Oryzias latipes: one gene and its partners. The protein of the gene in region 3 purifies or fractionates together with the protein of the main gene of each other region. This does not show direct contact. Links are inferred from orthologs where the notes say so. Each region holds a gene or a part of one and is shown on either strand. Other genes may lie near its edges.

What was found.
Region 1: the proteins of rpa2 (region 3) and top3a purify together in Homo sapiens (affinity purification with mass spectrometry; 4 studies listed by BioGRID and IntAct, with this or other methods). This does not show direct contact. The link is inferred for Oryzias latipes from reciprocal best matches to the Homo sapiens genes RPA2 and TOP3A.
Region 2: the proteins of rpa2 (region 3) and cdk7 purify together in Homo sapiens (affinity purification with mass spectrometry; 3 studies listed by BioGRID and IntAct, with this or other methods). This does not show direct contact. The link is inferred for Oryzias latipes from reciprocal best matches to the Homo sapiens genes RPA2 and CDK7.
Region 4: the proteins of rpa2 (region 3) and cdc45 purify together in Homo sapiens (affinity purification with western blotting; 3 studies listed by BioGRID and IntAct, with this or other methods). This does not show direct contact. The link is inferred for Oryzias latipes from reciprocal best matches to the Homo sapiens genes RPA2 and CDC45.
Region 5: the proteins of rpa2 (region 3) and rad52 purify together in Homo sapiens (affinity purification with western blotting; 3 studies listed by BioGRID and IntAct, with this or other methods). This does not show direct contact. The link is inferred for Oryzias latipes from reciprocal best matches to the Homo sapiens genes RPA2 and RAD52.
Region 6: the proteins of rpa2 (region 3) and hltf purify together in Homo sapiens (affinity purification with mass spectrometry, with the first as the bait; 3 studies listed by BioGRID). This does not show direct contact. The link is inferred for Oryzias latipes from reciprocal best matches to the Homo sapiens genes RPA2 and HLTF.
Region 7: the proteins of rpa2 (region 3) and zufsp purify together in Homo sapiens (affinity purification with western blotting; 3 studies listed by BioGRID, with this or other methods). This does not show direct contact. The link is inferred for Oryzias latipes from reciprocal best matches to the Homo sapiens genes RPA2 and ZUP1.

Annotation. Positions count from the first base shown.
Region 1 is NC_019866.2:19,331,472-19,334,601, reverse strand, and holds the end of top3a (DNA topoisomerase 3-alpha), read right to left. Parts: intron 1,252-3,130; coding exon 1,112-1,251; 3' UTR 501-1,111; downstream 1-500. UniProt on the Homo sapiens protein: Releases the supercoiling and torsional tension of DNA introduced during the DNA replication and transcription by transiently cleaving and rejoining one strand of the DNA duplex.
Region 2 is NC_019867.2:13,787,388-13,791,324, reverse strand, and holds the start of cdk7 (cyclin-dependent kinase 7), read right to left. Parts: upstream 2,801-3,937; 5' UTR 2,744-2,800; coding exon 2,678-2,743; intron 2,409-2,677; coding exon 2,349-2,408; intron 2,254-2,348; coding exon 2,220-2,253; intron 2,137-2,219; coding exon 2,069-2,136; intron 1,894-2,068; coding exon 1,825-1,893; intron 1,108-1,824; coding exon 997-1,107; intron 877-996; coding exon 758-876; intron 1-757. UniProt on the Homo sapiens protein: Serine/threonine kinase involved in cell cycle control and in RNA polymerase II-mediated RNA transcription. Cyclin-dependent kinases (CDKs) are activated by the binding to a cyclin and mediate the progression through the cell cycle.
Region 3 is NC_019874.2:22,815,095-22,819,334, forward strand, and holds the start of rpa2 (replication protein A 32 kDa subunit), read right to left. Parts: upstream 2,801-4,240; 5' UTR 2,678-2,800; coding exon 2,665-2,677; intron 2,433-2,664; coding exon 2,341-2,432; intron 2,107-2,340; coding exon 2,005-2,106; intron 1,104-2,004; coding exon 990-1,103; intron 775-989; coding exon 700-774; intron 243-699; coding exon 126-242; intron 1-125. Other genes in the region: smpdl3b (acid sphingomyelinase-like phosphodiesterase 3b), read left to right, coding at 3,732-3,792, 3,876-4,089. UniProt on the Homo sapiens protein: As part of the heterotrimeric replication protein A complex (RPA/RP-A), binds and stabilizes single-stranded DNA intermediates that form during DNA replication or upon DNA stress.
Region 4 is NC_019867.2:6,361,976-6,366,248, forward strand, and holds the start of cdc45 (cell division control protein 45 homolog), read right to left. Parts: upstream 2,801-4,273; 5' UTR 2,669-2,800; coding exon 2,618-2,668; intron 2,474-2,617; coding exon 2,414-2,473; intron 516-2,413; coding exon 423-515; intron 321-422; coding exon 183-320; intron 1-182. UniProt on the Homo sapiens protein: Required for initiation of chromosomal DNA replication. Core component of CDC45-MCM-GINS (CMG) helicase, the molecular machine that unwinds template DNA during replication, and around which the replisome is built.
Region 5 is NC_019864.2:21,084,115-21,088,402, forward strand, and holds the start of rad52 (DNA repair protein RAD52 homolog), read right to left. Parts: upstream 2,801-4,288; 5' UTR 2,435-2,800; intron 2,422-2,434; exon of another isoform or gene 2,263-2,421; 5' UTR 2,241-2,262; coding exon 2,193-2,240; intron 1,912-2,192; coding exon 1,810-1,911; intron 1,720-1,809; coding exon 1,626-1,719; intron 1,551-1,625; coding exon 1,483-1,550; intron 1,396-1,482; coding exon 1,277-1,395; intron 1,186-1,276; coding exon 1,110-1,185; intron 1,021-1,109; coding exon 794-1,020; intron 715-793; coding exon 545-714; intron 1-544. Other genes in the region: proline-rich protein 5, read left to right, coding at 4,049-4,081. UniProt on the Homo sapiens protein: Involved in double-stranded break repair. Plays a central role in genetic recombination and DNA repair by promoting the annealing of complementary single-stranded DNA and by stimulation of the RAD51 recombinase.
Region 6 is NC_019880.2:5,878,504-5,882,802, reverse strand, and holds the start of hltf (helicase-like transcription factor), read left to right. Parts: upstream 1-1,499; 5' UTR 1,500-1,629; intron 1,630-2,264; 5' UTR 2,265-2,266; coding exon 2,267-2,455; intron 2,456-2,532; coding exon 2,533-2,699; intron 2,700-3,968; coding exon 3,969-4,111; intron 4,112-4,187; coding exon 4,188-4,267; intron 4,268-4,299. UniProt on the Homo sapiens protein: Has both helicase and E3 ubiquitin ligase activities. Possesses intrinsic ATP-dependent nucleosome-remodeling activity; This activity may be required for transcriptional activation or repression of specific target promoters.
Region 7 is NC_019874.2:5,464,977-5,467,324, forward strand, and holds the end of zufsp (zinc finger with UFM1-specific peptidase domain protein), read right to left. Parts: intron 1,798-2,348; coding exon 1,632-1,797; intron 1,556-1,631; coding exon 1,395-1,555; intron 905-1,394; coding exon 699-904; intron 635-698; coding exon 587-634; 3' UTR 501-586; downstream 1-500. UniProt on the Homo sapiens protein: Deubiquitinase with endodeubiquitinase activity that specifically interacts with and cleaves 'Lys-63'-linked long polyubiquitin chains. Shows only weak activity against 'Lys-11' and 'Lys-48'-linked chains.

The DNA of each region.
Region 1 (3,130 bases), on a different chromosome or scaffold from region 3:
CCCACAACTTATGAGTCACGCATGACTCACCGAACGTGCCAGAAACACGCGCGCTTCTCAGGAAATGCGAGGCGCGCGCAGACGCAGGAGCTACTTCAACCCCTTTTACCGGGAATCTGCGTTTCTGCTCCGCACTTCTGACGTTTACATTTAACGCATGTTTGGGGGGGGGGGGGGGGGGGGGGGGGGGGGGGTTCTGAAGAAAAGAGTTTCTGACCGAGCTCGCCAACCACTGTTTTCAACCAAGGATCGGTCTTTCCTGATCCACCGGGGACCAGCCCGGAGCCTCCTGCCTCCTCCTCAAGGTCAAGCCACCAGTGAAATGATGAAGGCCAACCGTTGAGTTTGGGGATTTTCACCTCAAACACAGGACTCAACATGAAAATAAACGAAACTGAGTCATAAATTGAAACCAAAACTATTCTGCTGATCCCCCATTAAACCAGGACTCAACAGGAAAGCAAAAGCAAAGACCTCATGAATAGAAAAGGAAACTAAACCTGGAGAACTTTCAGGTTTATTGCATTAAAAGTCTGTTGCAGAAACATGAAATAAAATCCTGTCGTCTTTCCGCTAAGGTGTGTTTTCATCAACAATCCTAACAACTGTCAAATTTCCAATTACGTTTTAAGACACTTGAAGGTAAAAATAATCTAAAGTTCGTTTATTCATCTATAACAACAATAATTAGGAAGGAACTTCTTGTCCTGCATTGAAATTCTCGGAGTCACTGAAGGCAGCACGGTTTCTACAGCAGCATCACCTCCTTCCACCCGACCCTCACCAGATGATGTGAGCTTGTTGTTAGATCCAGGAGGGGAAATCTGAAATTAAATGCTGAACATCCTTTCTAGGTTACTGTGGTTACAAACTCCTACAAGACTTTTTTTTTTAAATAGTTCAACACCTCGTCTTGCAAAGTGCAGCTGCATCTCTCCAGCTTTTCCTCCAGGATCTACAGAGTTTAATCGGCAGGTTTCAGGCGCTTGCGGTTCAGTTTTGCCAGACGCCGTGTGCTTCCATCCAGATCAGAGGCGGTCATCTTCAGAAGGTTTGGTGGTGGACCTCTGATTGAGATGTAAAACACGCTAAAGTAGTATTACTAGAGAGGTCACCGCTGTGGACAGGTGACCCGGGTGTGTCCCGGCATGTGGCAGTTGCCACAGTGGCGAGGTTTCTTGGCGGTGGGGGGTTTGTTCGAGTCCCCCATCACTTTCCTTCTTCCATCTTCTAACCTATTGAATCCACCATCTGAAAGAGCAGGACAGGTAAAACATCAGAGCCGCTAAACCTCACCTGACTTCAATTATAGTCGCTTCTTAAGGGACAGAACAAGAGCAAACTTTGACAAATACCAAAGACAGGAAGGAAATCATAAAGAAAACTGAAAACACAGAATTTGGTTTTGATTCAAAATGCAAGTGTGCAGGACCGCATTGAGTCAGTGCAGATTTCCTGTTGATATCATGTTTAGACTCATAGTGCTTGTGCCACTTCTTGCAGCGTGCTCCAAATCATTATGCAAATGATAGTTTTCTATGATTTTTCTAAATATTCAATCCAACTGACAGTCAGCACAGTTTTGATGTCACTAACCATCAGAAGATATAATGAATGTTATTGAACAAACCTCCTAAAGATAATATTTAAAAAAACTTTTAAAGTCAGTGTTCCACATTATTTCACACAACAGAGTTTCCCAACATTTTAGAGCTTCTAAAGAACTGAAATCAGTCATTTGTTGAGTTTGCTGCATTAGGAGGTCATATTTACTGAAATCAAAAACTATTCCAATCGAAAACACCTCAATAGGTCAAGTTAGATTTGAACATAGGACCCCTTATTTTGTAGCAGCTCCACAATTCTTGCATCCATTGAACTTGTGAGTTTTTGGAGAGTTTCTTCTTGAATTTCTTTGCAGGATGTCAGAATAGCCTCATAGAGCTGCTGTTTGGATGTGAACTGCTTCCCACCCTCGTAGATCTTTTGCTTGAGGATGCTCCAAAGGTTCTCAATAGGGTTGAGGGCCGAGGGAGGATGGGGGCCACACCATCAGTTTCTCTCCTTTTATGCAGCCAATGATGCAGAGGCATTCCTTGCAGCATGAAATGGTGCATTCTCATGAAGATGATTTAGTTACAGAAAGCACGGTTCTTCTTTTTGCACTCCACTGTATCTGCAGGTCTGAAGTGTGTGGAGTGTTTTGATTTGTTTTCTTTAGGGTTTAGTTGTTCTTGTTTACCCCTTTATGTTTCTGATGGTTTGATTAAAATCTTTTGTGTCTCTGATCAGTTTAGTGTAAGACATGTTCACCTAGTTTCCAGGCCTTGCGTTAAAATTCAGCTTTTTTTTGGGGGGGGGGGGGGGGGGGTAAAATAAACCCAAACTTGCATCAAACACGTCTGTGTTCTACTCTGTGCTCTCCTGCCTCTCTGCTTGGTCTCTAAAACACGGGTGAAGTCTTTTGATCGCTCAGTCCAACCGCATTCCCACATATTTACCTATTTTGGTGAAGCTCAGGGTTTGATGGCGTCACATATGATGGCCAAGCTAAAAAATCCTGCTTCCAACGTGTCACATGACCGCACGGTTTGTCCATTCTTACGGTAAATGTAGTCATGGCTGTACCTCATTAAAGTGGGGGAGTTTCAGCAGCACTGCTGCTTGCTTATCTGAAAGCACAATCTGTAAAATTATCTGGAAAAAAGCTCAAATCAGACGCCAAACGAAAGCACAAATCTGTGCCCCCATCTGTAATGAGTTTCAGATTGGTGCTGTTTTGAAAGAGATAATAAACCATGTCTGATGTAGTAACAGAGCTGTCAAAAACAAACAAAAAGCCCCACAGAACCGTCATCAGATGAAAGTTGATGATCAAAAAGTCCTGTTTGTTCTGACCCAACAGAGGGAAGTTGAGTTCAGGGGGACTTGAACTATTTTGGACAAACTGTCTCCGCCGCTACATGAAGGGGAACGTATGTGATGTGGCAGACAGACAATTGCCTCTGGAAGAACAAGGGGAAGTGGCCATAATGTCAACATAAAAGCTGCATACCAACCAGAGAAAAAGGTCAACGTGAGTTCAGGGAGGAGGCAGACACATGAATTGAGGTCAACGGCTTTACAGTGA
Region 2 (3,937 bases), on a different chromosome or scaffold from region 3:
TAAAAAAAAGATTATTCATTTTTCATTTAATTTCATTTTATAAATAATAATTTGAGAAAATGATCTCAAAATGACAAAAGTGTCTTAAATAAATCCAGAGGAACATTTGATGAAGTTAATGTGTGATTGACCTAATGCTGGAAGTCAGAAGCTGAGAACCATCTCACATGTGAAAAAACCTCAATAAATACATTTGTAACACAGGAAACTTTTCCCAAAAGCAGCTTTAAAGCCCAAGGCAAGAGTCATTTGGAACCGCCACAGAGGTTAACTCCATATTTTCTTTGAAAGTAAAGCTTTTGAACACATTATTTACTATTAAATAACACATTTTAACATTAAACCTACTTATATTTTATCATTTTTCTGAATGAAAACAATTTATTCTTAAAATCTTTTTTTTTAAACGTAAACATTGAGATATGAACAATATTCAGGCAGCTTTGGTCTTGCTTTTCTAAATTGCTATTAAAGAGCAAAAGAAAAGAACACAGACAAAATTTCTTATGCAAGTATTTTGTCACCTTTTTGTTGTCTATATTTCCGCAGAATACATTTCTCTGCAGACTTCCTTTACAAGTCGGTCGTCACTCTGAAGCGCATTGAGACGACTGTTGTTGTGATTTAGGGCTATATGAATAAAATTGAATCGAATTGAACTCTGCTGTGTAGCTGATGACAGCAACTCTCTCCGCTCAAAAGGTAAAAAGTAAAGCAAAAGCTAAAAATTCTTAACAGGTTCTTAGTTTGCACAGACCTGGTAACAACTTGATGTGTGTAGACTCTGTTAGGGCTCCCAAAAGCTTTGGCCAAACCAAAATCTGCCAACTTCAAGACTCCGCTACCGTCTAACAGCAAATTATTGGGTTTCAGATCCTGCAAACAGAATTAATAAATTACTTAGAATAAACAGAAAAACCAAACATTACAAAAGCATGCATACCATGAACAGTATGAAAGTATGAAAAGTAGTGTATGAAATACAAGTGCACTAACCCTATGTAGAATCCAGTGCTGGTGCATGTATTCTAATCCCTGTAGAGTCATAAGGATGTAGGCTTTGATGTTGGCTGGAGTCAGCACCAGGCTGGTGTCTTTAATGACAACCTGTTATTAAAATAAAAAGGCAGTTAGAAAGAACCTTCCTGTTTGCTCCCAAGTAATCACCATCTATTAACATTTAATAACTTATTTTAGAAGTTATTAAAATTGTTATTAAAAGAAGAAGAAAAAACAATTTTAATAACTGTAAGCCATACTGAAAATGTATTTAGATTTCTTAAAAAGTATAATAAATAAAATGACAAAGGAGACACATGCAAATCAGCTAAGATTTGACTTAAAGATCAACACAGCAGGGCCCGTATGTTTTCCCTTTGTCGAATGTTGAGAAGCAAAGGCTGTTATCTCAATCAACTCATATTACCTGAAGTAATCATGTTAAATATGACTCAAATATTCAAGGTTTTCCTAGGTTGATATAAGATATGTCTCACAGTTTCCACCCTTCCTGCTTCGCTAATGTAAGCAGCTAATGGAAAAAGCTCAATGTGAGTGAAAGGCAGAGGGATATGCCCCCCCCCCCATCTTAGACCCTAACACATCAGAAATGGGTAAAATATGAAGATGAAAAGGAAGACAAATATAAGAATATATCTTTGATTTTGATTTGAAATAGTTTATTTCAAGCAATCAAAGAAAAAATAATGCACAAAACAATACAACCAGCAGTTTTACATTCATAAAAAGATGTATTAAACTTAGGATAATTAGACAGTAAATAAAAGATTGCTTGAAAGGAAGTGGATATAGACACATTCTCACCTCTAGATCTGTTTCCATGAAATCAAACACCAGACTAATGTTTGATTTATGCCCAAATGCATCCAGCAGCTACAAGAAAGGGAAATAAAAAGCACAGTTAGCATTAGACAAAATGTTTATTCACAACTAAGCAATAACATAAGCTGCCATTCAAATGTTTTTAGTAACATGACTAATAGACAGTACAGTTCCTCTAAATTGTAATTGTGTCTGTATGTTAACAGGAGCAAATTCAGTTCAATACCCCGATGATATTTGAATGATGCAGCTCCTGCAGCAATTTGATCTCTCGGAGAGCAGTTCGATTTATACCTATATAGGTAAAAAGAAGCACAAACAGTTGAAAAAACAACACCAGCTTTGTCAGTAACGACGTGCAGAAAGGCTGCACTTACCATCTTTAGCCTCAGTTCTGTGGCCTACTTTAATCTGAAAAGTAAACAAACAAAAGATACTAGTTTGTTGATAAACAACAACCCATAATAGACCATTTAAAAAGTACAATCACCAGGAAGAGCCCGTACCTTTTTAATGGCAACTATTGTGTCAGTCAATTTATCTCTGGCTTTGTACACAGTGGCGAACTAAAGAAGGAACAAAGAACATAATGTTTAGTTTCCCAGTCTTTTTTCTTTGTTTGTTTTGTCATTGTTGCTGATAAAGTGAAAGTATTATTATTTTTTAAATGGTCTAATTGTGTTTAAATAGCAGCATGGCCAGGTTGCTTTGTTGACATTAGGCATTGGCTAATGCTAGTTAGCTTAAGAGCTTTGTCTCGGCAGATATACAATACCAATACGGCTTTAAATAAAAAAAAACAGGTTTTAAATTACCATAACAGTTTCTGTCCTACCTGACCCTCTCCGAGAAAGTCCAGTTTCTCATACCGTTTGGATCTTGTTTTCACATCCACAGACATGTTAGCTAACTGTCAGTTTCGGTAAATGACACTTCCGGTCACGTTGAGGGTCCTCACAAACTGTTTCCGGGTGAATTAGCTTTAAATAAAACAAAAGCGCCACCTGTCGATTGAATTTGTACAACACAAGTCGTTTGTTTTGGAGCGCTCTTGTGTCTTGTTTTGTTTAAACATAAAATGAGATAATTATGTCATAAAGTATGTACCACTAGTGTGTCATAATAGATAATTGAATGCTGAAATAAGGATATTAATTTATGAGGAAAAATTAAAAGCAACTTTCATAACCCAAGTTCAACTTCACCATCCACTTTGACAATGCACTACTACACAAATAAATAAAGAATGAAAAAATGTTTTTACATTAAGTAGTGAAATTAAGTTTACTACAAGTACCCATGGTCTATTCTACAAGTTAGTCAGTATATTATAGTTACATTTTTAAATACAATCTAGGGTATATATTGTAAACTTAAAATGTTCCTGAAAGACACTAAATGTTCCGATTTAGTCTGGAGAAGTGTTTAATTATTTACAATTAGTACACTGTAAGTGCAGGGTATATAGAAGACTTACTATACTCATACTTATACTCAAGTAAACTTAATTAAAAAAACCTTCAAGTCCACTATTATTTGCTAAGAGTTACGAAAATGTCCTTAATTTGGTGGAGTGACAGCACATCAGTGTAACAATCCCAACTCAGTTTTAAGATTTAAAAACTCCAGCTGCTTTTGAAAAGATCTAAAAAGATTTCAGATTTGTTTAAAATAGTTTCTATGTTTGCTTACTTGTAGCCAATCTGTCCATAATATTCAAGTGTGTTTGTCCAAAAACACAATAGGCTCATGAGTAGATTTTAATGGCTCGATGTAGTGTGCACCACGGTTACATTTCTCTCCGTTTTTTTCTTTTTGCCATGCAGTTTCTCTCTTTTTATTTTGTTTTATTTTATTTGAGCAGTTTTAACATTGGTCCCTTGAGTGCCTCTTCTGTCAGTTAGGAAGATTTTGTGATCCATGCTCCACTGAGCACATCTCTACATCCCATCTCCATTCACAGTAAGATACCCTCACATCCCAGAGGATTAGGCACGGCTTCTCTCCTTTGACCCTCCTTGTCTCCGTGCCTGCACACAGCTGCACACACAATACACACTCACAACTGATTTTCATTTTAATGTGAGGTTGACAA
Region 3 (4,240 bases):
CTTTACTGGATTCAACGAGAAAACCTCGAAACTCTCTGGGTCGCACGCATCAACATTCAGTTCCTCATTCTCAGAGGTTTTCACTTGAGATGAGAACTGCAGAAGTAAAAGTTTCAATTACTTACGGTGTTCTGCGGTTTGCCGAGCGCCATGTGTGCTTGGACAACTTCCAGCATGTGTGAGGTGATTTCATTCATGTCCTCCAGGGGTCTGATACAGAACGCCACCATAGACCTGTGGTTCTGACACAGGAAGGCAAACACACATTTTCTGCTAAATTCAAAAATGAGTAACTGAAACAGCAGCAATGAACAATCACAAATGACCTTAAGACAGGTTATAGGTGTTTAAAAAAGCAAATAAAGCTCTTTAACAAGTTTGGAGGCTATAGGTGTTAAACTAAGGAAATGAGGCTCTTTAAAAAAAGTTTGCAGCTGCTGTAAGAACCTACACTTAGCTCAGGAAAGAGGTGACAAAAGCCTAAACCTTCATTTTTTGGGACGAAAGCACCTTTTAGCTAAATAAAGAACTGGCAAATCAGTGACAACCATTTTTTAAGTTAATTCATGCAATAACTGATAAAAGACAAAAGTTTCCAATTTGTGTGGCCCTAAAGCGTGGCCCTTTGTTTACAGTGTTAGGGCCGCATGAAGAAAATAAGATAAAAATAAAAGTTGGCAGGCCCTGTAATACACTTACTTGAAAAGAGCGTAGGTTTCCAGAGACTTTGACATATGTTCCTGGAGGCAAAACAGTGCTGTCCACACTCGGATCCTACAAAATAAAACCCAATCAGAGAAATTATTTTCTAGAAACCGGAAGTTAACTGAAATAAATGTTAAAATATATATTTTAATGAAACCAGCAATGACAGCATCAACAATGATAATAAAGATGTAGATTTGATCAAATGTTGTTTATAAACAACAATGGTCTGCAGACTGTGTCTCTTATGAATCATATTTAGCAAGGGGTTGTCACCAACTGACCTCTGTATCCACCCACTGCTTCACATCCATAGGAGCACCTGTCATGTCATCAACCCTGTACTGGATGTAGGTCATGGATTTGTCCGTGCTTCTGATGATGCCAACAATGGTGACCTATGACAGAGATGTGTAAAAAGGCAATAAAAACAATATGAAAGTACATTTTTGTTGTTTTTTGTTTGTTTGTTGCCAAGTGTTATGCATTAGTAAACACTAAATTTAAGACAGAAACCTGTCTTGATTTTTCAAAATAAAGGATCTGGAGTTGGTCTCTCTTGTTCCGAACAGATATTTTACTGCTGCTTCCAAGACTTAAGTTTGGATCAATTATTTAAACACCAGTCGAAAGGAGAAGTTCTACATGTGTGTAGCAGAATACGTTGAAGTTTTACAATCGTGGTTATAAAATATTGTTAAATATTAATTTAAAAAAATTAATTAATAAAAAAAAAAAACATTCTTTAACCCTATGATGCCTGACTTTACTTCTAGCTATGAAATAAATCATTCATGTTTTTGCTTTCATGTAGATGCTAAGTTAAGGTAATTTAAGATGGAAGTACTTTGATGCATATTTGCTCAATAAATGTCAAACAGCTTGCCAAACAAAAGATTACTTGTTCCAGATTTTCTATTTTATTTTATCATTATTATTGTGTTTTTTGTAAAGATCTGCCACATAGCAAAGAAAGGTAAAAGTCCATAACTTACTGATGCTTTTGTTTCCAACAAAAAGCTTACAAATATATTAGGAAAAAAGCTAAATCTATTATTTCCCAATTGATAAGGCATTATTTTTGGACTCATTGATTTTTTTTTTAGCTCCAATTAACTAATTATTACCGTAATTATTGAGACTTTGTTTTACTGTGACTTGGTCCCCTTCCCTTCCATCGTTATTAAATATATACATAGGTCTGTGTTTTTTTTATCTTTTTAAAGAGAGAGAGTAAAATCAAAATTATATGATATCTAATACTTTACAGTAGACATACTCTTTTGCATTTTAGGTTACCTGGTTAACCTCCACTTCTCCCACTTTAAAGGCTTCATCAGCCTGAGATGCAGACATCAACTGAGACACTGTGCAGGGTATAATTTGAGTGGAACGGGTCCTCTGGTGATGAACAAACAGACAGAAGGATTTCAGTTTTTACTAGCGTTACCGTTATGTGCTTAAAACAACACTCAAGCATACAAGACAAGTGCAATAATAATATAAAAACGGTTTATGTTAGGTCAAAGGGACAATGTGGAATTAAAGATGTTCAAGCTTTAATATGGATCACTTTTAACTACCGGTGTAAGTTTTGAAAGGCACCATCACTCTGTCGGCATTGTCATTTCTCACCCCTTTCTTCTCTCCTTGGGACAAGCCAGGCGATGCAAAGCCTCCAGGAGACTGCGTGTAACCCCCAACCATTCCCGACTCACTGTAGCCTCCTAAAGTTTCAACACAGAAATTGAAAGCAAGTGAAGCAAACTCCCTTTTCGGCATATTTACAATGTTAATGGAAGACACATTTGACAACAAACTATTACACTTGTAAGAAATAAACAAAGAAGCCACTTGACTTGAGTGTTAAGTAAAGCTAACGTTAGCTGTACCAAACAACACAAACATGCCAGTGTGAACGATGTAAAGGCAAACAAACAACTTGGATACGACATTTACCTTGATTCCACATGCTGACACTTCGTAAGTAATTCTTAAAATGCAAAGATAATTTAGTGACGGGGTGAAATCGAGCAACCAACTTGCTTAACGACCTGATTCCCGCGCGCCAAACTCAATGTAAGACGCATGCGCGTGGGATAATTCCCGCGAAACGTTTCATCGCGAGAGGTATATAGATAATGTACTGGCCCTGATTTTTGACTGTCAGGCATTTGCCACGGTTTTGGAGTAAACATTCCAATTAATGGGGAATTTCCACCGTTTTTTTCTTAAACTCTAACATTGTTTTTATTTCATAATGATTGTATTATTTTAAAAGATCTAATAATCCTTGTTTACTAAGAAAATCTACACCTGATAGAAATATTTCGGGAAATAACAAGCAAATTATGACGCTATCGCAAAGAGGTGGAACATGATGATCTTTGTTCCTTTCAATTTAAAAAAAAAGGTTTTCTAGTTGTAATGAGCACTGGTGCATGCGTAAATACTATAACTTATCAAAATCTCAAAAATTACAAATATAAAAAAATAAAACGTGAAAGGTATTTTGTGTGTGATCGTATGGTCTAAAATTTGAATTGCTTTTTAAGGTAGCCTTTTGCTTTTGTGTGTCTTTAGTTTAAATAACAACAGTAAAGGTGATAGGATTGTGTAATATTTTTCTCAGCCTCCAAATCCGCAGCTCAATAAACATAGGCTAATCAGTAACACCCTGTATTAGTATGAACTTCTAAACTTTTATTTAATTTGAAGAAAAACAATTTTCTGTTGAAAGCTTTAGTTCTGACTTGCCATGGAGAATCAAATGATAAAAGTGTCATTTTGTAGTTTCTGATGGACAAAGAGAGCTATTTTGTAATGATTTAATCTGTCAAAAGTGCTTCTTATCTTAAGCGTTCTCGTAAAAACTAATAATATTGTGTCATAAAACAAGGTTTAGTTATTATGATCCACACAAGCATGTCAGTGCCTTGGTAAGAAGGTTGTGTTGGCCCGCTCTGCCCTTCCTTTATAGACCCTTGCCTGTCTTTTCCAGCACAGCTGTTCTCAGACACTCAAACATGACAGCAACAAGCTTTTTCTTATCTTGTCTGCTTTTCAAAGGAGCTCTTGCTCTCACTGGTAAGTAGAGCCTTGTGTAACCAGCGTGTTATAGATGATTTTGTGACATTTACTTACTTCGCCTATGTGCTGATCTTTTCCAGGAAGCTTTTGGCATATCACAGATTTGCACTGGGACCCAACTTATGAAGTGACAGATCAACCGGAGCTGGTGTGCGCCTCTAGCGGCAAACGGCCTGCTTTGAGCGCCGGTAGATTTGGAGACTATGTTTGTGACTCACCATGGCACCTGATCAATTCCTCTGTGTATGCCATGAAGAGCATTCTTCCAGACCCAGACTTCATCATCTGGACAGGGTACCTACTTTTCTTCTTTACATGGTAACCTCTGTGGGTTTTTTCTGTGCAATTAGACTAATTTCCCACCAAGATGTCTACTAGATAACTAATATACACTTATTCTAGGTGTCTACTAAACATCTCAGACAACTATTTTGTTCCTTTATTA
Region 4 (4,273 bases), on a different chromosome or scaffold from region 3:
GGGGAAATGAACAGAAGTGGTTTCCACGTGGTTTTCATATTTGCAGCAAAAGTAAGAACAAAAAAAGCTCATTGATAAACAAGATGTTCTGAATCAGAAAATAGCTGAAGAGTTTGTGTTTTATTTGTTGTTCAAGAGTTTACTACTCCTAAACGTGAAAAAAGCAGATCATGATGCATCACCTGGGTGTCATTGTAAACATTGACAACATCAACAGGCCGATGAGTATCACAGATGAAGAAGATGGAGTCATCATCGGGCTGCAGCATTTCCAGCAGGTCAACATTTGCCCCACAGTTGATGAGAACAAAATAACGAAACTAAAACAAAATCAAAATAATCATTAAGGAAAGATTTTTTTTTTAACATTATCAACTTCAAGTCAAACATAGGAGTGACACTTTTTTTAAAAATAAGTTTACCTGCTCTTTGTGTTCAAGGAAGGCTGTGCCAAGTTCCTGCCAGCCTGTCACTGGAACAAGTGTATACTGGATGTGGTCACAGTGAAACAACGCCTAGAAATAAAAGCAAATAGGAAAATCAGCCATTTTTCCAACACTTCCAAAACAAAGAATTAAATTAGATTTGACAGTGATGAAAGTCAGGCAAGGAAAAAATCCCTGAACTTTTCTTTGAGCGATATGGCGGCGCAGAGAGAAATTTTTGAAAAATACATAGTCTTAGATGCATTCTGGTGCATTCTGGCAGCTCGTTATTCACTTCTTAATCAAGAAACTAAGACTAATAGGAGCATCATGATTTGTCATTCAAACCCCTAGTTTGACTTAACATTAAGGACTTGCTGGTCCTAAAAAAGAATTTGGATCATTGCTCATAGTATAACAATCCTACAATCTAAGCTTTTCCTAAAATCTGCAAAAGATACAATTGCTAAAATATAGTAACATCAAAGCCCCAAATGGCAAAAAGAACACCAGTAACTATGATATTCTATGAAAATACCTCATTTATTTGTACATTATTTCTGCTTTAGAAATGACTGATGTACAACATCCACTTGCACTGTTTTCTCAAACTATAATTACATCAAAATATGGGATCTGCTTTAAACTATAATTCTATAACATAATACATCAATTCTTTAACACCAATACTAAGTAATCTGGGAAATATCAAAACAAACATACAAACTAAGCTAAACATTGTAAACATTATTTTTTAAGGGAGTCTGGGTCCAAACCACCAAATACTTATAATTAATGTCAATTATACTGAACTAAATCATGGTAATTAGGAAATACAAATAAATTAGATAGAGAAATGTATTCAAAATAAAAACTGAAACTCAAAACTAAAAGAGAAATTATTTCTGAATTTGGTTTTGAGATTATTTTACACAAAAAGCATTTGACCTTAAAAATATTTTTCTTCCAGCCAAGACCACTTCAATTTGTTTTTTATCGTCTTCTCACAACTGAGGTCGTGACCACGCTCAATAATGACGATGCCCGCCATTATTTTAACACAAATTTGATCACAAACTCTTCAGATGTGTTTGTGAAAGTTTAGCGTCGGTCCGCCGGTTTTGGTCTCTAGGGAAGCAAGTCACGCTGACCACGTGGTGCAGACAGAGCCAATCAGACCCGTCGACGCATCCGAAAGCAACTAAAACGTCCCGTCATTGGTCAATAGGCCGGGAAGACGAGAGATGGCCGCGCCCATAGAGGAAGCGATCCGCGGAAAAATATAGAAAATAAAGCTAAAATTTGCCGATTACAGACCATTTTTTCATCCGGAAAGCGATTTGTCCGTAGAGATCAGGTCTTTATTTCCCGGAAAGTACGTTCGGTTTGCTCAAAAACCCGGATTTCCGGGAATTCCCGGAAGACTTTCATCACTGATTTGAAAACAAATATTTTATCAGCACCGAATGTCTTCTTTTAGAGACTAAAAAGGTAGTTTAAATCCATGTAAAATAACTGACTAAATAGAAAAACAAACCATATTGCTCTTAAACAGGCATGTCTGACGTTCCAACATGTATATATAATCAATCTATAATGTATAACTAACATGCAGTTTATAACAGTAACAATACACTTAATTAAATAAAGTTTAAAAGCATTTTTCCTAAACATAAAGCAATAAAAAGGCAGAAATACAACTATAAATATCAATTTATTTGTAAAAATCGCATTTGTTTTTACATACATTAACTTGCAATTAATTTTCAAATATTGATCAAGTCAAAATTACAATTTTAGGACTTATATTAAATTGCTTCAGATGTGTAGGTTGGTTGAATTCTGCGTCTATCTATACGGCTCTGTAAAACTCAGAATATTTAATTACTCAAATATTTAAAGAGTGTTTACAAAACTACCGCAAATAACCGCTTTTCTGAGGATAAAAGTTAAACAGAGTAGTTTCTTAAGTTGGCTTATCTTCTTACCTGCAGGATTTTACAGGCACAAAGAGCGTCGATGTCCCCAGCAACCAGAAGTGCAACTCTCTAAAGTTCAGACATACGATATTATGACGAGATGTTAATGTCTCAAATGTACAACTGAACCGAGCGCTTGTACTTGAACACTACAATACTTCATATATTAGCTTGCTAGCAAACAAATTCACAAAATTAGACCTAAAAACTTACTTGGTTGGCAACAACTTCATAAAAATCCTTTTTAATATCTGTGATAAACATGTTGCAATATCAAATATAAAAGTTCCAGATTACACCAGAGCGTTAAAACCAACATAAAATGTATTTGACGGGGATTTGTTTTTGTTAGCTGTCAAGCTCTGCGCTCTCACAGTGGAGTAGGAAATGTTCCGGTTAGAATTGTGGCGCCAAACCTGTGAACCAATCACTTGGTACAAAATTGTAGACGTCACTGGAATCACAACACGCCCACTCATCTGAAAACAATATGGCGTCACACTGCCCTCCGTTCAGCGCATAAATACATTTAATTTAATTTCAATTCTTGATAAATTATTAAACATAAACAAACAAAATAAACATGTATAACTTTTTTTGAACCAAAAGATATTTAATTTTGCTTTAAAATGTCTCTTTGTAAAATTCTGCATTTTAAAATACATAAAATTCCACCCATAATTGTTATTTTAAAGGTTGTGTGTTATTTTGTCATTTTACTGAACTATAAATCAAATAAAAAAGCTTAATTATGACTAATGTAGAATAATTCAAATTTTACAAAACTGCTATAGTTTCAAAGCAAATTGAAATATTTCTCACTACAAAAAGACCCATTGCAAAAATGTGTAGTTAAAATTCAATAGTACTTTTATTTAGACTACCTGTAGGTTGAGAGGTAGTAATTATTTATGTATTATTTGATTAAGAATTTGCTTTTAAAATTAACTAAAATAAAAAAAATTGACTCATGATTTTTCTTATGTAACATAATTTTGCACATATTTTAACTGTTACTTTCACTTGAGAAATTAATTATCATTAATTTTGTTGTTTTGTTATGAGTGTTGTTGAGTGGGGGTTTGGATTTTTATAAAATTTATAAAATTATTGTTATGATGATTTTTGAAACAGTGTTATGTCTATTTTACTGATATAGTATTATTTTTTTAATCATATAAATGACTTTAATAAGTAACATAATCTGCATATATTTTGGATAAATGATCTGCTTTTGCCATGTTGATTTCTAAAATTGTTATTTGTACATGATAGTTTAAGTAATTCATTTTTGTCATGTGCTTTATTGATACCTAAGGATTCTGAATTCTGTCTGATAAAATTTATGAACCGGATGTTGATAAATCATGGTTACGGTAGAACAGGTGTGGGATTATATAAGTTCCCTTCCTTCCACTCCCTTTCAAGCAATATTTATTAATATGTCTAATTCTCCTAAGTTTAATTCGTCATTGTATGAATCTATAACTGATGATTGTATTGTTTTTGTGTACTATTCTTATTTGATTGCTTGAAATAACCCATTTTAAATTAAAAAAATCAAATAAAACTAACAAAATTCTGGTGCTCCCCTCTGTAGTGAAACCTGAATCAGTTGGAGTCTTTCACTCAAACCACTACAAGACCCAAATACCTGTGTACAGGTGCAGAGGTCTAATCGTAAAATTATTTCATTGCAGTGATTGACTCAAAATAATAAATCAAAGATACTCATAGATACGCTGTTGTTTATATTTTGTTGGTTTATAAAGTTGTTCGGGAATTGTAAAAAAATAAAATAAAAGCCACATTTGACATAGCCAGTTTTCAATAAATATTAATGTGATACTGTTTCGAAAGTAAGTGACT
Region 5 (4,288 bases), on a different chromosome or scaffold from region 3:
TTGTACAGCCACAAGCTCTGCTTCATTCTAATGCAGGGGTGGGCACTGAGGGCCGCATTCCTGCATGTTTTCCAGCATACCCTGCTCTGGCATGTTCTGATTGGCTGGACACACCTGAACCAGGTAATCAGCCATGAGTAGAGCAAGACTATCTAGAAATCATGCAGACACACCAGCCCTCGAGGCCTGGAATTGCCCACCCCTGTTCTAATGCATCCACTTGTAGACGACTAGATGTCCGAGCGGGCACCTGGCACAAATGTACGGCTTGATAGATAATGAGCATGAAAACAGGTGGATGATGGGAAAGGGGCCGGGGTTACCCCATGCCAACAGTCCATCCACAACTCAGTGAACTACTGCTGATCTGTCTCATTAAAAATGACATGTTTTTTTTTTCTAAGGCTAAAAACAGCATAATCAAAATCACTGGGAACACTTTGATATAGATCAAGAGATAATCGGAGTGGGAATTTTTCTACTGTAATTGAATGGAATAGAAATTTCAGGTTGCCTCCATACTTGTTCCTCTCCAAACCTTTACCTCCAGAGGATCGCCGTTCACCAGGTGCCGGAGACTCCTCTGTCTTGACTTGATCCAGGTTCTGCTGGAGCTTCTTGGCCTCCATCTCCTTCTTGAACTTCTGCTGAAGTTCCTGCTGTCTGAGTTTTCGTAAGTGTTTAGGGTCTGTGTGCACCTCTGACCCAAAAGATCTTCAAAGAAGGACAGTGAGAGAAGGTGATGTGAATTTGTATGGGAAGCTAGGGTCTCAAAGCAGCTTTTACTTTTTACCTGGAGCTGACATCCTCACTCTTTACGTTGGGAACAGAGCTGGCAGCACTCGGTGTGTGAAGTTCAGACTGATTCTGGTTCAATACTCTGGGTTCTAGTGGCATCCTGGAAGAACCCGCTGCACATAGTAGTTTCTCCTCTCGGCCAAGACTGCTGAACCGGGCCTTCTCGATTGACGGTTCGCCTTCAGAACGCTTAGTCTTTGCTGGGTCCAAAGGTGCTGGAGGCTTTGTACAGAAAATGAAAATCTTAGAACCATAAATGGAAGACAATAATCCAGACTAAAGGAGAATTTACTTCATATGTTGAGTCTGACCTGTCTGGGGATCTTATTAATGGCAAGAAGATATTCTTTATCGAGGATGCAGTTTCCGAGGGCATTACCAAAACATCTGAACAAAAAAAAAGCAGATATTTATGTCAAATAGTGGATTAATCTAATTGATTTATGAAGTAATAAATACTGCTGTGTGAATTATTGACTTCAGTGCTCTCTTCATGCCGTCAGTGACCGCCTCTTTCCTGGCTTTTTCCAGAGACAGAGCTTTAGATTTCAGGCCCTCACTAACTCCATATCCCACGTCCTCATGAAACGACCCATCCTAGAGGCAGGAGATTTGTTAGACAGTACTTTAAATCATTCACTGTGGGATTATAGGTGCAGATTCAAACAAATGACAACGCCAAACCTTCAGCTGCACTTTGACAAAGGCGCTGACTCCCACGTAAAACCTCCCATTGACAAGGTCTACAAAGTCTGGAAGCAAAACCTCTGACTGTTAATCTGCTTTGCGGAATTGAACTGAACGCTTTGGAGTTGAGCTTCTCGTACCGACATTCTGCTGGGAAATGGAGTGAGACCATCCATTGTACCCAAACATCTCGTTGGCCAGGCCAATGACACGGTGTCCTTCAATGTAACACACCTGGTGAAAAAAAACCAAAAACAATTAGGAATAAGTGTTTAGATAGAGAATAATTTGGGCAAAAAATGAACATATGTTTGCTATAATTGCCTTCTGGCCTCCTCCTGCCATTCTGGTACTGATGTACTCTGGTCCCAGTTTCTGTCGCAAGGCATTGTGGACAGCCTGGTACTCCTCTGCTGTGTAGGTGCACTGGGTGGGTGCAGAACAGTATAACACGCCACAGAAGAAAAGGTAAACAAACAAGTTACACGTTATTTATTACAGCCTTGAGGATTTTATTTTGCACTTAATGAATCTATATAAACACATTAAAGGAGATGGTGGTTCCACTTATCTTGCATGCATCCTTACAGTGATGGGGATGATGTGAGAATAGGAGCATCCAATTTTCTAGCTAAGTGAGTGGAGCATGCGCACATCTACTCAATCGTATCATGGCGTTGTAGTTGTACGTTTGTAAATCGACTAACCTGTCCGAACTTTGTGGGTGCAGGGAAGCCCCTTTCCTCAGCCGACATTATGGCTAGCCTGAAACACAAACTTGCATGCAGCTAGTACTTCAAATGTCATCTCAATTCACCCAATCATGCAAAAAGTGACGCAGAAAGCTAGCCAAAAAACACAAGGAGATCAAGCTAGCTTTAGCACGCTCGCTAATATTCCATTATTAGGAGATAAAATTCTACAATAAATGCTCTTAGACACAACTCACCTTATTTAAAATGTGTTTTCCGTGTTAAAAACGAACCTGAATAGTTAGCATTTACACTACGAGGATTTGAACCTCCCGCTTAGAGAACCGGAAGAGGATGAAATGATGCCATCAGGGTAAACGGAAATTCAACTATTGGCATCAGTTTAACATGTATTCTTCAAAGTGATCTTTAGTCACTTCAACTGATATAAGCACACATGGAACGCATTCAATATTACTTATGTTTAAACTACCCATGTTAGATAGTGAAAAGAATGCATTTAACTTCATCGCAACTATCTGTTTTCAGTCTTTTTTTGGGTAGATACTTGCATTAACGAGATATACCTGAAATAGCCTAAAACGTAACAACATTACAGTCTATTATTAGTATTTTTTACATATGATTTTTAAAAAGTGAAGCAAAAATTGCTCACAAACTGTTCTAATCTTAAACCATAGTAAATGTTTAACCTTTTGTACTTTTTGTGCCTTTTGTACTTATAAGGTTTGTGAAAACAAACAAACATAAAAACAAAAAAACAGCCCACCCCACCACCCCCCGATGATGATGATGATAATAATAATAATAATAGTAGTAATAATAATAGTAATAATAATAGTAATAACATACATTTTGATTCGTTTTATTTGTCTAATTTCATTTCGGAAATCTTCCTAAGATCTCCAACAGACCATCAGAAAAACAGAATGCTGATATTGAAGTCTACATTATTTACGGGAAAAACCGTCATCTCCCTTTCTATTTTTTTTCCTTGAAAAATCTTTCGGATTTTTGTTCCTATTTTTTTTATTTCGGTATCATATTTGTTTTGATTTTCTCGTTTGGCCTTTTTTCATCTTTGGAGATAAATGACTAAACTTACACAAATTGTATAAACATTTTACGATTTTATGCCCTTTTTTCTTGTTTTTTGTGGGTTTTGGTGTTTTTTCATCATTTTGCAGAATTGTTCCTGCTTTGATATTTTTTCTTTTGTCCTACATTTATACATCTTTTTTTTTAATCAGGTCATATTCTAGTTTATGTCTCAATTTGCCGTTTAAACACGTTTATTTGTTTTTCGTTCAGTTAAAATACAAACATCTTGCGCCAATTTTCGCATCTGGTCAATGAGTTTATACTAAATTATCTGATGGTTTAATATTTATGCCGTTTTGGGGGAAACTATAGTGTAATCCCGGGCAACGTGGCGCATTTTACGCATTTTTGCGCTCAGGTCATCAGTGAGACTCGCTTTCCTCGTCACACACGCTCCGTGTGATGCGATGCCTTAAAAAGTTGTGTTTGTTCCTCTTCCAAACATTTTATAATTTCCCTTTCATGCACGCAGCTGTAACCACAAAGCGCGTCCACGCGTCCAGATTATCTTTTGCATCACGTCAAAACAAAGCGGGGACGAGCCAAAGCCAGAGAACGAGGGAGGAGCGACGGAGCGAGCTGCCACTCCACCACCAGCCTCCTGAATGAGCCTGCGGCGTCCCAGGTAGGATCCTTCTTCCACCCGCGACCCGATGCCTGCAAGGCTGCTCCGACCACGTGGGATCTGTGGTGGATGAGCTAATGAGCCAACAACAGGCGCTTTCCTCTCCGCTCTTCAGGATCGTTTCATGTTACAGGGAGCAGCACCGGGATCAGGAACGGTGAGTTCGGGTTCTGTGGGCGGGCAGAGGCGCAGGACACACCGCAACTTGGCGACACACTTTCCTATCCATACAAGCCCCCCCTCCCTGGCCCTCTGCGCCAGCTTCTCCGGGTGCCTTCAGACGACGAGCGGCTTTGTTTACACTGCGCTCCATTCCGGCCGCACAGATCAATGGAGCAGCTCCACGTATACGCACGACTGCTCG
Region 6 (4,299 bases), on a different chromosome or scaffold from region 3:
AAATAAAGTTTAATAGAAAAAAAAGAACCAGTGCAGCTTTTAATTGGTTGATCTTTGTTTTTCTTATTAAATAATCAAAACACCAATGAATTTTCACTAAAACGGTCTAAGCCTCCCCATGATAACAACAACAAAGCTTTGAAAAACGAAAAAGTGAAAATACTGCAAAAAAAAAGTATGAGCAGGGATCATTTCACCGAACTGATTTCACTTAACTAAGTTACTACTCAACAGATCGATAAGTTGGTTTCTTTACAAGTGGAAGAGAAAGGAAGTCCCAACAAAGTGACAGTAAAAGTGATCCAATAACTCATATAAACTATAGAGCTCACCTGTGTTGTGCCAACAAGTATCTGCAGGTCGTAATTTGAATTTCTGCTCTGTCTGTCTGGGTAAATCCTCAAACGTTCTCCAGTGGCTTACTTACTTTGAATCCGACTATAAATCCAGATTTGAGCCGGAGATTTCGCGAAGACTTCCACGTTCGTCAAGAGAAACGGCGGTTTCTCAGACACGGTGGACTTTTGTCGTTTTTTCTCTCCCGGCACTCTGTGCTTCGTTCGGTCCAAGGAGGAACCTGGTGGAGAGAAGAGGAAGCGGAACCTCGCACAAACATGAGGATTCGGGACCTAGCGGCACCCGTAGCGCTCACATTTAATCAAAATTAAAAATGTAAATACTTTTCCCTGAATTTAGCTAAATGCAATGCATATGAAACTCGCGCAGAGAAAGATATAATCAATATAATTCCAAACAACATCGGTGAAAGAACGATTACGAAGAACTAAAGTGTATCTTCAAACAGATATGCACTGCGCATGTGTGTTGACCTCAACGGAACCAACAAGTTGGATTCTTTAGATTTTCAAAACAAAATATCCAACATGAATAATTGAGGGTCGTTGTTTTTTATCATTAAGAGCTCAAAAATACACCTAAAAAACACACAATAATAGCTCACAGTATATATAATCTGAATTATAATTTCATAAAATGTTGAATTTGTTGTCTTTATGTTGCACAAGCTTTACATTTTTGTGCAAATATTTCTATATCTACCATATCAAATCATGATAAATCTCTCTTTGTGTATGAAAAATATAACTATGTTATAACTATGAACTATGAAATATAACTGATGAAGTACACTGATGAAGTATACCTTCAGGAGCCCGGTGTACTGTTTTTATAAAATAAATTAAATAGTGATAATAATGTAATGCAGATACAATCTTCATTTTTGATAATTATGGAAAAAAACAAAAATAAAACCATACTAAAAATGACATTGTAATGCAAAGACAGGATAAATGACGACTGCTGCCAGTGCATCCACATAAAAGATTGATAACATACTGCACTTACCAAAACTTTTATTATCAACTTCAGAATTAAATTCTTATATTATACAAAGTTCTACATCAAGCAGCTATAACAAACAAATAAAAAAATAAAAATAACACCAAAAAGCATGTCATTGGGTTTTATTTTGAAAGTTAACAACGGAAGGATTATTCTAGGCGCAGATGTGTTTCATTTGAAAGTGCTGTGAACATTGTGTCGCAGTTGATAGCAGGATACTTGCAGGGAAACCGTACAAAAACTATCAACACTGAAGGAAGATCGAAAGTAAGGCCTCGTTATTATATGCTGATATTTATTACATTCTGTGTTCTTCCGTTAGCACGAGAACAAACGGCGCGTGCTAGCTTAGTAACACTTACCTACTTTACTTTCCATAAGAATGGCTGTGTTTCGTTTTCTCGAAAACTGTAGTTGAAACGAAAATTAAACTACAAAGTAGTATGAAGCTTCTATACATCTCACCTCCAACATGAGAGCTAGCAGAAAGTTAATTTAAGTTGTGCACCGCTGCCTGCAACTGTTAGTTTCCACAGAACCATCATTTTTTTTAAATAAAAAAAAACTTTATTAACAAATATTGCACATACAGAATATCACACATTACAATCCATACTAGTATGTGCAAATGCCAAAAGTTTCACATTTGCCAGGAAAATTATCAAAAATGTCAAAAAAGCCATTATAATAGCAAGATAAAACAGATTAAAAAATAAAATAGGTAAAGGATTCTGCTAAAGTCTCAAATGTGACCATGTTTCAACTGTTCTAGAAGCTTTTTGGTTAGTGCAGGATTCAATACTATTTACATACAGAATAATTTATTTCTGAAAAATATAAAATAAATACTGCCTTATTTTGTTACAGAACTCTTCATCTTTGCCGTCTTTTTTTGTCTGCAGGTATGCTTTCCCACAGGTGGAGGTCTGGATGGGGCAGGTTCGTTGACGTGGACCTCTTCACAGACAGCCATGAGACTTTGTCCCAGGCCATCAGAGCTGCAGCGTCCGAAGAGCCGGCGGATGCTGACGGCAGCGTGCTGTTCGGCCACCTGAGGGGTTCTGTGGTGGGCCTCAGATATTACACAGGCGTGGTAAGGGTCAGACTGTCTCTTCCACACACACACATAAAAAATACTCCTACATTTCAGAGGGTTTCTTCTCTGGACAGGTGAACCAGGGTGAGATGGTGGGCTTGGTGCGAGAACCTCATAACCCATACGACTGCAATGCAGTGATGGTTGCAAACGTTTATGGCAACCAGGTGGGACACATCAAGAGGGAACTGGCTGCAGCCATGGCCCATGTCATGGACAACAACCTGGCTAAAGTGGAGGGGTGAGTGTCATGGTGCGGTCACTGTGTCGCTTAGGTTTTCTCCTCATACGTTCAGAGCTTTCCATAAAATTTGGAAAAGTTTTTAAAGACCCACTCTGATGAAAGTTGTGTGTTGGGGAGTTTTTTAACATGTCCTTTTGGTATTTTTTTTGATGATGGAGGACATCAATAAAGAAAATTAGGCTTAAATTAGGCATTTCTCAATATTAAATAGAAAAAATATGAAAAGGTGCCATTTGAAGAAGCTTGTAGCTGTGATGTGGAACCTATTTACTGCATTCTGATGCATCCACCTGCAGAGTAACAGATCCATGTACGTCTTTGTTTTCCTCATCCGAGCTGACGTCTCCCTCCAAACTGTACGACTGTATCCCCTTTTTGTCGCACTGGTAATGGTTGGGGGTGTTGGGAGACATAAGGTAGCAGGAGAGAGTGTAAACAGTGGGATGATGGGAAATGAGGGTGGGCTTACTCCACGCCAATGGTTCCACCGACAACTCGTAGGGGAATTTCTGATAAACAAAGTTTTTTTGAATTTGGCTAAAAACAGCATAATCATAATTAAAAGACCACTAGAAACCCTTTGAAAGCAGATCAAAATGGGTCTTTAAAGGTTGTAACAACAGGAATTGATGCCTTTTCTGGTTATTTGCCAGTTTTTTCTGTCTCGGCATAACTTTGCCGTAAAATGGATAAACAGAATTGCAAATCTCGTTTTATTCTAATTTGTAAATGTCTCATTAGTAGAACATTATAAAATCATGATTTTGTTTTGTTTTTCAATAATTCATTCTTAAAGCAAGAAGAGTTAAATTTTAGTTTTTTTTTTAAATTTTAAGATTTGATGTTGTTGTTTTTTTTTTTACCGTATTCTTTCTCCTTCTGTTTTTTTCTTATCATGTATACGTTATTACATTTTCTTTTGATGTACTTTTATCCAATAATTGGAGGAAAAAAAGTCACAATACTGCAATTAACGTCAGAATTTTCTTTGCCCTTTTTTTTTCTTTCTCTATGGCCCTAATCCTTTTCTGTAATTTTAGACCAAATAAGAAATTGTGAAATTGAAAATATAAAAGTATATTGCTTTTCAGTTCTGAAAGACATCCTATAACATTAGGGTTCTTGTTGAACACCAAACGTTAGTTGTGATTGTTCATTTATTTAATGTATATTAGGTTTTTTGTCGTTTTGTTTTTAAATTGACTTTTAGATGAAAACAGAACATAAATGAGTTGATATGAGCGCCGCTGCCTGTGTGGTTGTCAGGGTCGTACCTTACGGAAAAAACAACTCGTTCACCATGCCGGTCATTTTGTCCTTTTGGGGGAAAGAAGAGAACAAAAATGCAGTCCTGGAAAACATGGAACGGCGAGGATTCAAACTGAACTCAGACGGAAACAAATTAGCAGGTATGCCTGAGTCTTTCAGGAACGTCTGTGGATGCTCCAGACACGTCTGGTTTTACTATTATTTGCTTCCTTTCAGGTCAGAAAACCAACAGCATTTCAGGCGCTCGTGCTTTTTCATCCAAAAAAGGAGTGACTGTCCCACTAACTGCAGAGGAGGTAACTGGATTTAACGACATGAAATGTTTGTT
Region 7 (2,348 bases), about 17 Mb from region 3:
TCTTTAATGCCACACCCGGAATTTGTCAGCAAAGGACAAGTGCTCACCGTCACAGATTTGTGATCAATATTTGAGGAAAATGGTTATTTTGTGTTTGTAGAAAATGTTTCAGATCTTTGAGTTCATTTCTTGACAAATTGGAGCAAAATCAAAAGTGTTAAGTTTATGTTTTTGCTAAGTGTGAGTAAAAACATGTTGCATTTATTCTTGTTGTCTGACAGTTATGAAATAAAGTTTTTGGATTTATTCATTGCAACTTACTGAAATGATGCAAACTGTGAAATTTGATACATTTATAAGCATTTGACTTTTTTTACATGATAAACATGCGGCTCATCTATAATCCTGAAAACCTTGTCTGTCTGCTAGAACATAGTCTTTAGAGCAACAAAGTTTGCTAAATAAAACTTAATTTTTTTGTCTTTTAGTTTCTCTTTACTGCGGATATTTTTTGGGTTAAAAAAGGAAATCCTTTTAAAGGTCCTTATGACACAGCAGACACTTTTGTATGGAAAGCATTTATTATAAAACATCTAAAACCAAATTATGAAGACTGTGATCAGTAAAAAGATGCTTGGAGAGCCTCTCATGGGATCTTCTCTGCACAGAGAGTCCTGGAGTTGAAGACAGCAGCCTGGACAGAGACAGAGCAGTTTCAGGATCAAACAGGTGATGGCGGATGTGCGCTGCCAGCGTACCTGTTTGTCCTCTGCAGACAGCACCCCCTGCACCGCCAGCAGCTGATACTGTTTGTGCTTCAGGCTGCTGGGGAACTTCCTGATGTGGCGAATCGCCACGGAAACCGCATCAGTGCTTAGTGACAGCTTCGATCCGGGATCCATAACGAGAAGGGCCAGGGCGCCGCTTTTCCTCTGCTCCACGCCGACAACCAAGCGGCTGTGACCTGCAGACAGAGCAGGAAGCTGAAGGGATGGAACCACTAATCAGACAAATTAACCCAAATATAGCACCAAAGTGGACACACCGAAACTCCTCAATTAATTCGAGAAACCACGACGGCATCTCTTGCGATCACCGATGGCAACCGCGAGCAAAAGACGAAGACAGCCTGACCTGTAGACAACTAACTTTTCACACGGCAGCAGACGTGCTGACAGGAATTCCACAGTCAGAGTTGTTCTGATCTCCAGCCAACAGCTGTAATTACCCAATATGGGCATAAAGCCCCCACCCTAAAGTGTAAGAGCTCTGGTGAACATCAAACATCTCTGGTGTTCAGAGGAAAAAGACGCTAAAATAAAAGGTATGAACAACACTGTTACCATGGCAACCATGACTTCACAACTGAATTACCAAATGTGGTGACAAATTTTCAAAGGAGTTTTTTTTATGTAAATAAGCCTCTGCTGGAACACACTCCCCCATCCATTTACCTTGGTGCTGAAGGTAAAGTGGGGGCAGGCTGGTTCGGATGACCTTGGGGGGCAGTCTGTTGCTCTGGCTGGACTGAAGGAAGTACTGTCTGACCCAGTCAAACAGCCGGGGATGGGTGTCCCCGGGGCCCGTAGGCTGGTGGAAGTCAATGATGCGTGCTCTGGAGGTAAACACCGCGATGATGCTCATGAGCAACAATTCATTGCCTACACATGGAGCAAGAGCTGCCGTCCCACCTGACACCCAGCCAGGTGAGCAACACGTAGATCTCTGTGGCCCCGATCCAGGCCCGTGTTCCCTGCAGGCGGTGGTTGAAGTGGGATGCTCCTTGTGGATCCACACCTGCTTTCCAGGCCTCTTCTATCATTCTCTGGACCTGTGGGATAGAAGGAACTGCCTTTTCTGGCCGAGCAAAAAGACATCAGTGGATTTGGAGAAACTCAACAATAACATTAATATTTATTAGCACACATGAAAACCTCAGTTTATTGGTTTAGGTTGTCAGTTATGTGCTTTCTCTCATTTAGGAAATGTTATCTTAAGGCTACGTGACGTCACTCAGCCACTGTGTACATTTTCCACGTATGAAATTTTAGTCTTGCGTGATTTACGGAATTCAAAAGTGTTTCTTGTGTTAGTTATCTGTCGATGTGCTCAGATGTCTGTCGAGGGTTTAGGATCTTTACATGATTTCCGGACTTTTAGTCTATTGAGAATTATGCAGGTTATGCATGTTTTACGTAGTTTATCCGCAATTGTTATGTAAATCTTATGCAATTGTGTGTGGTTTTTGGGATACACAAATTTGTGGCTATGTCTAACAGACTTTTAACGCATGAACCACCGATGTATAACTTTTATCTCCCGTATACGGCGTACGTTTCGCATTCAAATTACGTAACTGACGCACAAATCACAGCCCAATAATCACACACGGTTCATGTTCTGTGTCA